Tribolium castaneum: one gene and its partner. The protein of the gene in region 1 purifies or fractionates together with the protein of each later gene. This does not show direct contact. Links are inferred from orthologs where the notes say so. Each region holds a gene or a part of one and is shown on either strand. Other genes may lie near its edges.

Region 1 (4,644 bases):
GTGACATATCTTTAAAAGAACACAAAAGATTGTCATTTTTTTCCACCCTTTACAATTTCGTAAACCTACTATTTCGATCCTCGTTATCATCGTCTGGGAAAAGATCGACGACCGGATCTGGTTTTTCGCTTCGTGAGTGCTCGCTAGTGTTGTCGTCGTTGACGTCCTGATCGTATTTACTAACGGAGCTCATAAATTCCAAATGACGTTTTTCTTCTTCTAATTGGGCCACGGTCTGTTCGCTTGCTTGGAGTCTTTGTTGGGTGGAGGCCAATTCGTCTCTTAACCATGCGTTTTCTTGGCATAAGCGACGCACTTGAGTTCGCAGTTTTTGTTTTTCGGCCTCGATTAATTGGAGGTGGTTGGCCAAGGCCATTATCACCTGAAGGAGAAATTTACTTGCCTTAAAATGCGACATTTCTACCAATTAATGCGTTTCCCTGGAAGCAAAATCCCTTTCACGGTGTTTAAATTCACAAATTTAATTACTTTCATTGATTTTGAGTAACAATTTAAAAAATCAGTGAGGAGACTTGTCCAAGGACAGTTCGAACACGCGACTTTTTTTCGTTACAAGAGACTATAATTATTGTATTTTTGTGGTCAGTGGTTTCATTTTTAAAATCAGGCATCAGCAGGAGTTAATTATGTCAGAAAGAAAAAATTCAGTTTAATAAGTAAATTAACAAACAAAAGCGAATTATTTTTATGACACTTGCTACAATAAGACGATGAAATTATCTCAATTTTACGATCGGCTTAAATTAATTTGATTACAGGCTGCCAAACGAAGAACTTTTTAGTGTTAATTTAACAATTATTTACCGAAACAGGCCATCATGTTATACAAAAAATATCGAACATACTTGAGGCACCAAGTTTTTTACAGCCCTATAACCAAAGCCATAAAAACTTGTTTTTCCTGGAAACCAAGAACGAAAAACAACGTTTGAATAAAAAACGTGGAAATAGAAAAACAAAAGGATAGGGTGAGGACATAAAAACCGCAATAAACATCATCAATAATCATCCCACGAGATTTAAAGCTCGATGAGCAGAAAGAAAGTCTAATTGATACAGATTTTAATTTGTAAACACCCAATTTTTGTTAAGAAATATGGTAAAAGTATAATGATTTAACAATAATAATTGTTGTTTCGTCACCTTCAAAAGTATCATTCAAAAGATATTTAAGACACTTGGAAGTATTGTGAATATTATTGAAGCAAATTCATGAATAAACTCATCACCAAACTTATTATTCTTATGCATGTAATGACAGTGATGACGTTATTACAAGCAAATGAGATTTTTATGAACAATCAACAATAAAACTGAATATTGTACTTTGGTCTCAATAATTATTTTTTAAATTTTTTAATTAAAATCGTGGGTACACAATCTAATGACAATATAATTTTTGGGTAGGTTGTGAAATAATATCATATGTAATTTACTCAAGACCGGTATAAACTGACTTATAAGAAGATTTTTTTCAGTTTTAATCAGGTATTTTTATCTGTAATTATAGAAGAAAACTTCAAGTTCTAGGTCAAATTTACCATTTAACTTTTAAATTGCATGGTTTGTTACAGTTAAATAATTGTTAGTTTCTACAACTCGTAATCCAAGTACGACTTTCACAATTTTTAATTATTTATTTATTTTTTTTTTCAAATAAAACAAATTAAACCCGGAATTAGGCCGCCATTTCTTTTTTATCTCTCATTCAAAACAAACAAACAATCATTTCATGGTTTATTACAACCCAATCTCTTATCTTAATCCTCCAATTATAATCGATTGGCATCTGAAATCCCGTCGAAAATAATAGAACCGCGACAAAATAAATTAAATCCAATTTTAGAAAGTCATCAATTGGCTTCGACACTCTCCTTCCTTTTCCTTCCCTCCCCACTCGCCTTAGTATGAGTCATCGGTGCTCCCCGATCGATGCAATCGGGTGCCCCTTTCGTCTCTCACACACCGACGATTTTATCTGATTAGAAAGAAAAATAGAACATACTTGCGCTTCTCCCAGTCCCAATTCGATCATTTCTGCACTTTGTTGCACCAGACCGGCGCGTTCATTGGCCACCGGATCGGGGGCTTCGTGGAGGCCATGGAGGATGCCGGCGTGCTCTGAGCGGAGCGCCTCCAACCCCTGAGCCACCGTTCGCACAGCTGAGACGATCTCTTCCTGCGACATCGCCGTCATTTTTCCCAAACTTTCAATTTTCTTACTGGAAATAAACGACAACTTCAAGGAAGTGGCGGCGGAATTATGCCACAATTAGGTTAGAAATTTGTAGAAAAAACGCCGGATTTCAAGTAGCACAAACGAAAGGCAAGCAAGACCGCCACAAGAACACAAAAGCTTGAACTGAAAACAAAACCAACTTACATCCTATACGCGTTGATCGTTTTAGACATGTTTTTTCGAATGCGTCCTCTTAATTCCAATGAGCACCTCGTTCATCACCTCACGATCGTTTAAATTGAGCGTCTATACAAAAACCTTATTTATATTTTTGATTATTGTAAAAGTGCAAGGCGTTATCACAAGACGGAATATGAGACAATGCAAAAATATATTTTTGGTCAACGATCACCCCCGCAATCAATAATAAGGCCCCCTAGAACATCACGCCGCCTTCCCTTTCCACCCCATAGCTCGAAAAAGGGTGTGCCACTTTCGGTAAAAACGCGAAAACTGACGTCGGTGCATCAAACGTACTGCGTCGCGACGCCGCGCCTGCGCCCCATAGCCCGACGAACCCCATCAGAAATTTGCACCCCTTTCGATCGGAAACCAATACACGTGTGACGGCGGGGGCGTACACTCCGAGCCGTGACTCACGCCCGATTTTTACAGGGGCGCTTCCTCGTTACTTTGCCAAGCGTGACGATTGAAAAATACTTACGTGTTGCTATCATCCATGCCACGGGAATGCACTGCTCACCTGCTATGGCAATCAGTAGACCATAGCGTAACCTGCGACATAAATAAATCACAAAAATTGACCAACGGAAGGAAGGACACCGACACTTGAACTGTGCCCCCAAACGATCGGGGGGACGCTTACTCACCTTTATTTGGCAGCCAAGCGTTAAAACACTCAAATTGGGCTATTTTTGACACTGCAATCACTTTCTTCTGACATTAATGGCTGCGCTTTTGATAACTCTCTTCTCATTCCTTTTTCTCTCAGTGTTAGAAGAGTGACAGATGATTGCCAAATCAGGGGCGCCACCTACCGGGTGCCACTAAGCCGGGTTAAAGTAACACAAATCAGGGTTCTGGCTTGCAAAACACACCCCAGTAATTAATTAAACACTTTGCCGAAACGACTGTGGACAAATTTAGAGGGCAAAGCCCGTTTTAGCCGATTTTTTCGTGTCAATTTAGGGATTTAAGTTTTGTCCGGTTGCGGGTGCGCACCTGTGAGTTCGTCGAAAAGTCAGGCGACTATCTGCATATGGCGATTCAGTAAAGTAGCAGCAATTTAGCTGTGTTGTTGGTTTTTCCCCCAATTGTGCCTTCAAACTGGCATTTTAATTAGTTTAGTACTTTGTCTGACGTGTCGTCTAATTGTTTGAGCGTTAATTCGGTCATAGATGGTCCGTGGAAGGTGCTACAAATAAAAGGTGAGATCACGTTACATGCATACTTTTTGCTTATTTTTTCTGCCTAAAAATAAATCAAACTCGGTGTTTTTGCAGCAAACTCCAGCCGGACACTTTCCTTGATCGACCCTTGAACGGACCTTTTTCTTTAGTTTTTGCTTCTGTGGGAGTCATCGTCCAGAAGGGCGCTACCATTTTATATGACTTTAGTAAGCCACAAAGGTAGGTGATAGCGTTATCAGTTCGATTTTTGCAGTAAAAGCATGACGTAACATCCAATTTCCATAAACAATCGAGCACGCTTTTTATTTTTTTTTGTACGAAGGCAGCGCTGGTGTCACGTGACTGCGCGGTCTGTTCAAATAAACCAGTGGAGGCGTGTTTGCGGGGTTTGTAATTTTCCGGGCGAGCAGTGGCGTGCGCTATAAAAATAATCGTGTCGCATTGTGGTGATCGATATGGCCGTGGCATTGCGCCGGTTCGACGACATCGATTCGCGCCGCGACGCTTACGTGGCCTCAGTCTCGGTGCGCGCCCTGAAAAACCTCAACATAACTGCTCTCCAAGCCACGACCGAGGGGCAAACGGCCTCCCCCATGCCCATGCTGTCGCCTTTCCACGATGGTGAGACCCGTAAGTTAAGTAGGCAATGATGGTCTGGCACATGTCAAAAAATTTTCGTCAAATGTAGTTCCGTTCGAAATTTTTCATCGTCTCGATGTACCACCGACCTATTATGGTACTTAATTATCACGAAACGGACGGTTTTGTCGCATTTTCAATGGTCACGCAACCAGTTTATTACCGCAAGTTGTGATTACAAACAGACCATATGGTAACCGGAAAACAGGCAGATTCGATGCGAATTTTGCGTTAAAGGTAAGATGGGGGCCTTTCCGGAGCCGGGGCTCCGGGATAGGGATGCGCCGGCGCGTGACGTCACCACGTCTCTCGATTTATTTCCTTGTTAACTGTTTTTAAAGTGACCCAGTGTCATTTAGAAAAAAATTCATGAAT
Region 2 (4,451 bases), on another chromosome or scaffold:
TTAATTACTACAAAGTTGTTGAAGAACAAGTTCTTAACTGAAAAAAAATATGCATAAATGCATAAATGTTGTTTCCTGCTAAAAGTGCGTGGAGGATTATTTCCAGTTTTCCAAAAAGCTTAAATTTATTTGAAATCAATTTGTAACTTATTATTAGCTTGTCTTTTGTCAAGTAAATTAACTATATACTTTCTATAAGACCAACAACTAGAAAAATTTACCACACTGGAAACCTTTCTCTAGGAAATATGATGTTTATCTTTTGAAACATCAAATTAATTAGAACATAACTAAGTACTGAATTTAAACTAATTAAGAGTTATTTGCCTGTTTATCTACTGATTCGAAGTGAGACATTTCTTTAGATTAAACTCAATCTCGATTTTTTACAAATTAACACTATTATTTTTTTTATTTTAGCTATTTCTATTTTTTCTTTAAGTACACAAAGTTTGTTTAAATTAACATTTTTTTAAAGAATTAAAAAAAATATATTATTTCACTTCATTGATAGATTAATAACGTTGTAGAAATTGGCTATAGGCAAAGAACGACTAATTGGTTCTTTTCCACATTTTTTGTAAATTTTTAATAGTAAAATTAGATAACGAATATTTTTGGAAAATAATATTCACGTGCAAAATATTTTTTATTTTATATTTATTTTTTAATAACATTTGTTGAACTGAGGCTTCTCGTAGATTTATATTTTACCACCCCTATGATTATTGTAATAGGCGCAGTTTTTTTATGAAAGTTTGTTTTTGTTAAATATGTATTGTTTGGAGCTGAAGTTTTCTTGAAAAAAGTTTTGATTATAATTTTAGACACATTTTCAGTTTTTGTGTATTTTTTATGCATATTTTGCTTAACTTTTAAGGTTATTTTAGCCTTGTTTTCCGTCATTTTGTACTAAAAAATTCGAACTCAACACATAACACTATTAATTGTATTATTATATGTTGTCAAAATGCATTGTAAAGAGTTCCACAGAAACGTCAGTGTTCAGCAAAATAAAATCTTCACTGTATATTTTAATTATTAAAATTTATTGCACTGTTCTAAACAGATGTACAAATAATTATCAACGATTGTAAAATCTGGAGATGGGAATAACTTGGCTGCTTCCTAAGAATAATGAAATCCTCTAGAGATAAGCTTCATTAATTGAAGTCCTCGTGCGCGTACAATACATCTAAATGATCCTCCATCCAGCTGAAGTTGTCCTTGTAATCTAATAAGACTGCATCATTCACGAAATCTGCGATGATTTAACGGCTAAGTAAATTATCACAAAGACAAGCGGCTTTCCTCAAAGCAAAGATACGCAAGGCAGGACAAGCAACAGGCTCCTAGCGCAGAATCGCTTTATCACCCCAATCAATACTAGAGCGGGGTTGAAAATAAACATGGCTGATAGTGAGTTTGAAGAATTTAGACACAGCTTTGAAAAACTAACATCGCACACCAAAAATTCAGCACCATTTTATTCGTAAGTACAATCGCCAACCCTTTGCCAAAATATAAATCGTCAATGAAAGACACCTCCGCTTTCTCGACCAACTCTCGAGTATTGATTTCACGTAACGTTTTTAAAGCTTAGTTCATGATGTTGTCGTGGATGAAGAATCGCCCACGTCTTCCAAGAGCGACCCCGAAACAGACTGTGATATTGTGGAGGAGAGCAGACTCTCGGGCTCCTCCACAAGCGAAAAGAAAGAACCTTCGAGGAGTACTCCCATTCCTCCCTGGACGGGAGAACGCAGGAGGAGAAAACTGCCCGAAATCCCGAAAAATAAGAAACGTAAGTGGGAATTCACATCACACTTTCGATTCCGGTATTTGCAAAAAACACAATTTTTGTTAGTCTGACTTGCTTTTAACTTGATTATGAAAATCATTTGTGGGAAAGGTCAGGTTGAATAAAATAAAACAAAAATATTCAAAATGTTTTTTTAAGGTGCACTTGTTAATAAAATTAGTTCAGTTAAGAGTTAACTCTGATAATAAGTTCTAATCTTTTTTACAAAAACCAAAAAAAAATACACAGAAATTAATTTGATATTCTACCCACTCCATTGACTTGTAAAAGAAATTAATTTTCACTGGTAGGTACTTTGCAAGCTCTTGTACAAAATAATGAATTACTTTACTCAAAGCAGAAGGCAAATCAATATCAATATCAATGTTTCAACTGCTGTATCAAACTTTATGATTGTCTAGAACAAGAATAGCTGGAAATTTAATGAATAGACTTTAAGTTTACATTCATAAATTGACTTTACTGAAAGACTTATCAAAAGTTTTTGGTTTAATTAGGACTGTACACGAACTGTCTCAACACATTTTCTCGGACAAAATCTGCAATTAGGTTTCATGTTAATATTCAAATCGTAGTTGATACAGCCAAAAAATCTAATACATTTTTACCGTACGTTTGTTTAAAAAATAGATTACAGTGAAAAAATTAAGAAAGTTAGGCTTGCTTTTCAGAAGCTTTCAATTAATATTTCTAATAAATTTATAATAGGGCACAATAAGTGGTTATTTTTTTCGGTAGATCTAAGAGGATTTGAAAACTTTATAAACTTTTTCTTCAAAAATATTAATAAGTGCCGACTTTAGCTAATAAAGCTAAAATTCAAACTACTGACCGATGATGAAATGACCACTTCATTTGCAGGAGAAAAATTATAAACCATGAGTTTTTTTTGAAAAGTCTATAATAGAAAGATTTGGTAAATGAATTGACAAAAAGTAGAAAAAGAATAAAAACTTTAATTTGAAAGAAAACTAATTTGCAATAAGCTTTATTTATTATGTATTTTTTGTCAAAATACATTGAAATGTTTTTGTACCCTTATTAGTAAGATCAAATTCCTTCATCTTCTCTTTTGTTATTATATTACTTAATAAGATTTTAGAAAAAATAGAATCAAGATTCAAATTTTTCTAAAATAAAGGCTAATTTTAAAATTGTCATTTTTGTTTCTAAATAAATTCATCAGAAAAAATAGATTTGTTCTATATTTAATTTAATAGTCATACTAACATTAGTACTTCGACTTTCATAAGAAATTGGAAAGTTCATAAAACACTCTTAGATTGAGTTTGAAAAAATTTCTTTTTTGTTTTCGAGGATAAATAAGTTCCTTAGTTTATAAAAATTTTCTGAAAATAAAAAACTTTATCGTTCCAAATAATATTATATGCATTTCTAAGAATTCCAGAAACTTTAACTTGTTGGAGTTTTGAAAAAATAATTTTTTGAGTTTTCCAGTATAAATTAATGAGTTTCAGTTTATCAGCAACCTCTAATAAATAAAAGAAAATGTATCTGTAGATATAGTTTAGAAAAAATTTTGATTTTTTGGGTACGTTTTTTAGCAAGAAATTAAAAACTTACCTATGAGCGACATCTAATATTTAAATGCTTCGCTGCAAAAGATTTTGCTCAGCTAGTGTCCTCTAGCAACTAAGTAGCTTTGTCACTTTTTTTTTAAACTTCAATAATAAAAGAAATTAATAGTTTTATATTCTAAATTTCAAAATAAATACTTAAAACCACTCAAAATTTTTGGTTATTATCAAATTGATGTTGAAGCTACAGCAATATTGTTTTATTCTAAAATTGTTCAATTTCTTACTTAATTTTCTCACAAAAATCTGGAGTTTTTATCATGAAATATGTCGAAGACAATAAATTTTTTTATTACAACAAATAGCTAAAGTCCGTAATACAGTATAACTTATTTGAAAATCACTAGGCTTTACGGACGTCCATAACGTATTTTTTTGCACACTAGTTTGTAAAAAATGATAACTTTAAAATTTTAAACTACAGTACAATCTCAAAAGTGTAAACACTAAAAGTCCAGGGCTACTGCATCTGTTCGTATTATCGAGGCTATAAATACATTTGGACATAGGTAAAATAACTCAATTTTTTTTTTATTACAAAGAGTTTAATTCTTTATACATATTTTTTAAGCAACAAGTAGAACGTATAAAGTTTGTTAAAATAATTCTCATCTTATTGCCTGAGACGACTTCATGACAAACCACTTGTAAAACAAGTCGACAAGAAATTACACTAATACAAATATTTATGTTTTTTTTCCACATGTAACTGGTTGTTTATACCTGTGACGTCCGATTACAGCACTGCTAAATACAATAAGTTTAAGCTGAACTAAAACAGTTGTTCTTCACAGAGTGTCTACTCGTATAGTGTCCTATAAATGTTAATGTTGTAGTTTCATTTTGTTAAAACATAAGATTTTTTTGAATAAAGAGTTTACTAATTTATAGCCCGTTTTGTCAGTCCAGTGTTACTTCTAGTTTGATTCTTTTTTTTAATCCTACTTTCAATAAAATTTACTTTTATACACTCTATGTAACAATGAATTCAACGTTTGGCAAAAATGGTGGATGCGCTGGGAAAATTAGTT

What was found. Proteins that work in one complex are often made in the same cells at the same time.
Region 2: the proteins of Klc (region 1) and Aplip1 purify together in Drosophila melanogaster (affinity purification with western blotting, with the first as the bait; 3 studies listed by BioGRID). This does not show direct contact. The link is inferred for Tribolium castaneum from reciprocal best matches to the Drosophila melanogaster genes Klc and Aplip1.

What each region holds. Positions count from the first base shown.
Region 1 is NC_087402.1:3,659,987-3,664,630, reverse strand, and holds the start of Klc (kinesin light chain), read right to left. Parts: upstream 2,968-4,644; 5' UTR 2,942-2,967; coding exon of another isoform or gene 2,925-2,941; intron 2,507-2,924; 5' UTR 2,434-2,506; coding exon 2,405-2,433; intron 2,244-2,404; coding exon 2,027-2,243; intron 383-2,026; coding exon 70-382; intron 10-69; coding exon 1-9. UniProt on the Drosophila melanogaster protein: Kinesin is a microtubule-associated force-producing protein that may play a role in organelle transport. The light chain may function in coupling of cargo to the heavy chain or in the modulation of its ATPase activity.
Region 2 is NC_087394.1:6,458,870-6,463,320, forward strand, and holds the start of Aplip1 (JNK-interacting protein 1), read left to right. Parts: upstream 1-1,349; 5' UTR 1,350-1,409; coding exon 1,410-1,492; intron 1,493-1,598; coding exon 1,599-1,804; intron 1,805-4,451. UniProt on the Drosophila melanogaster protein: The JNK-interacting protein (JIP) group of scaffold proteins selectively mediates JNK signaling by aggregating specific components of the MAPK cascade to form a functional JNK signaling module.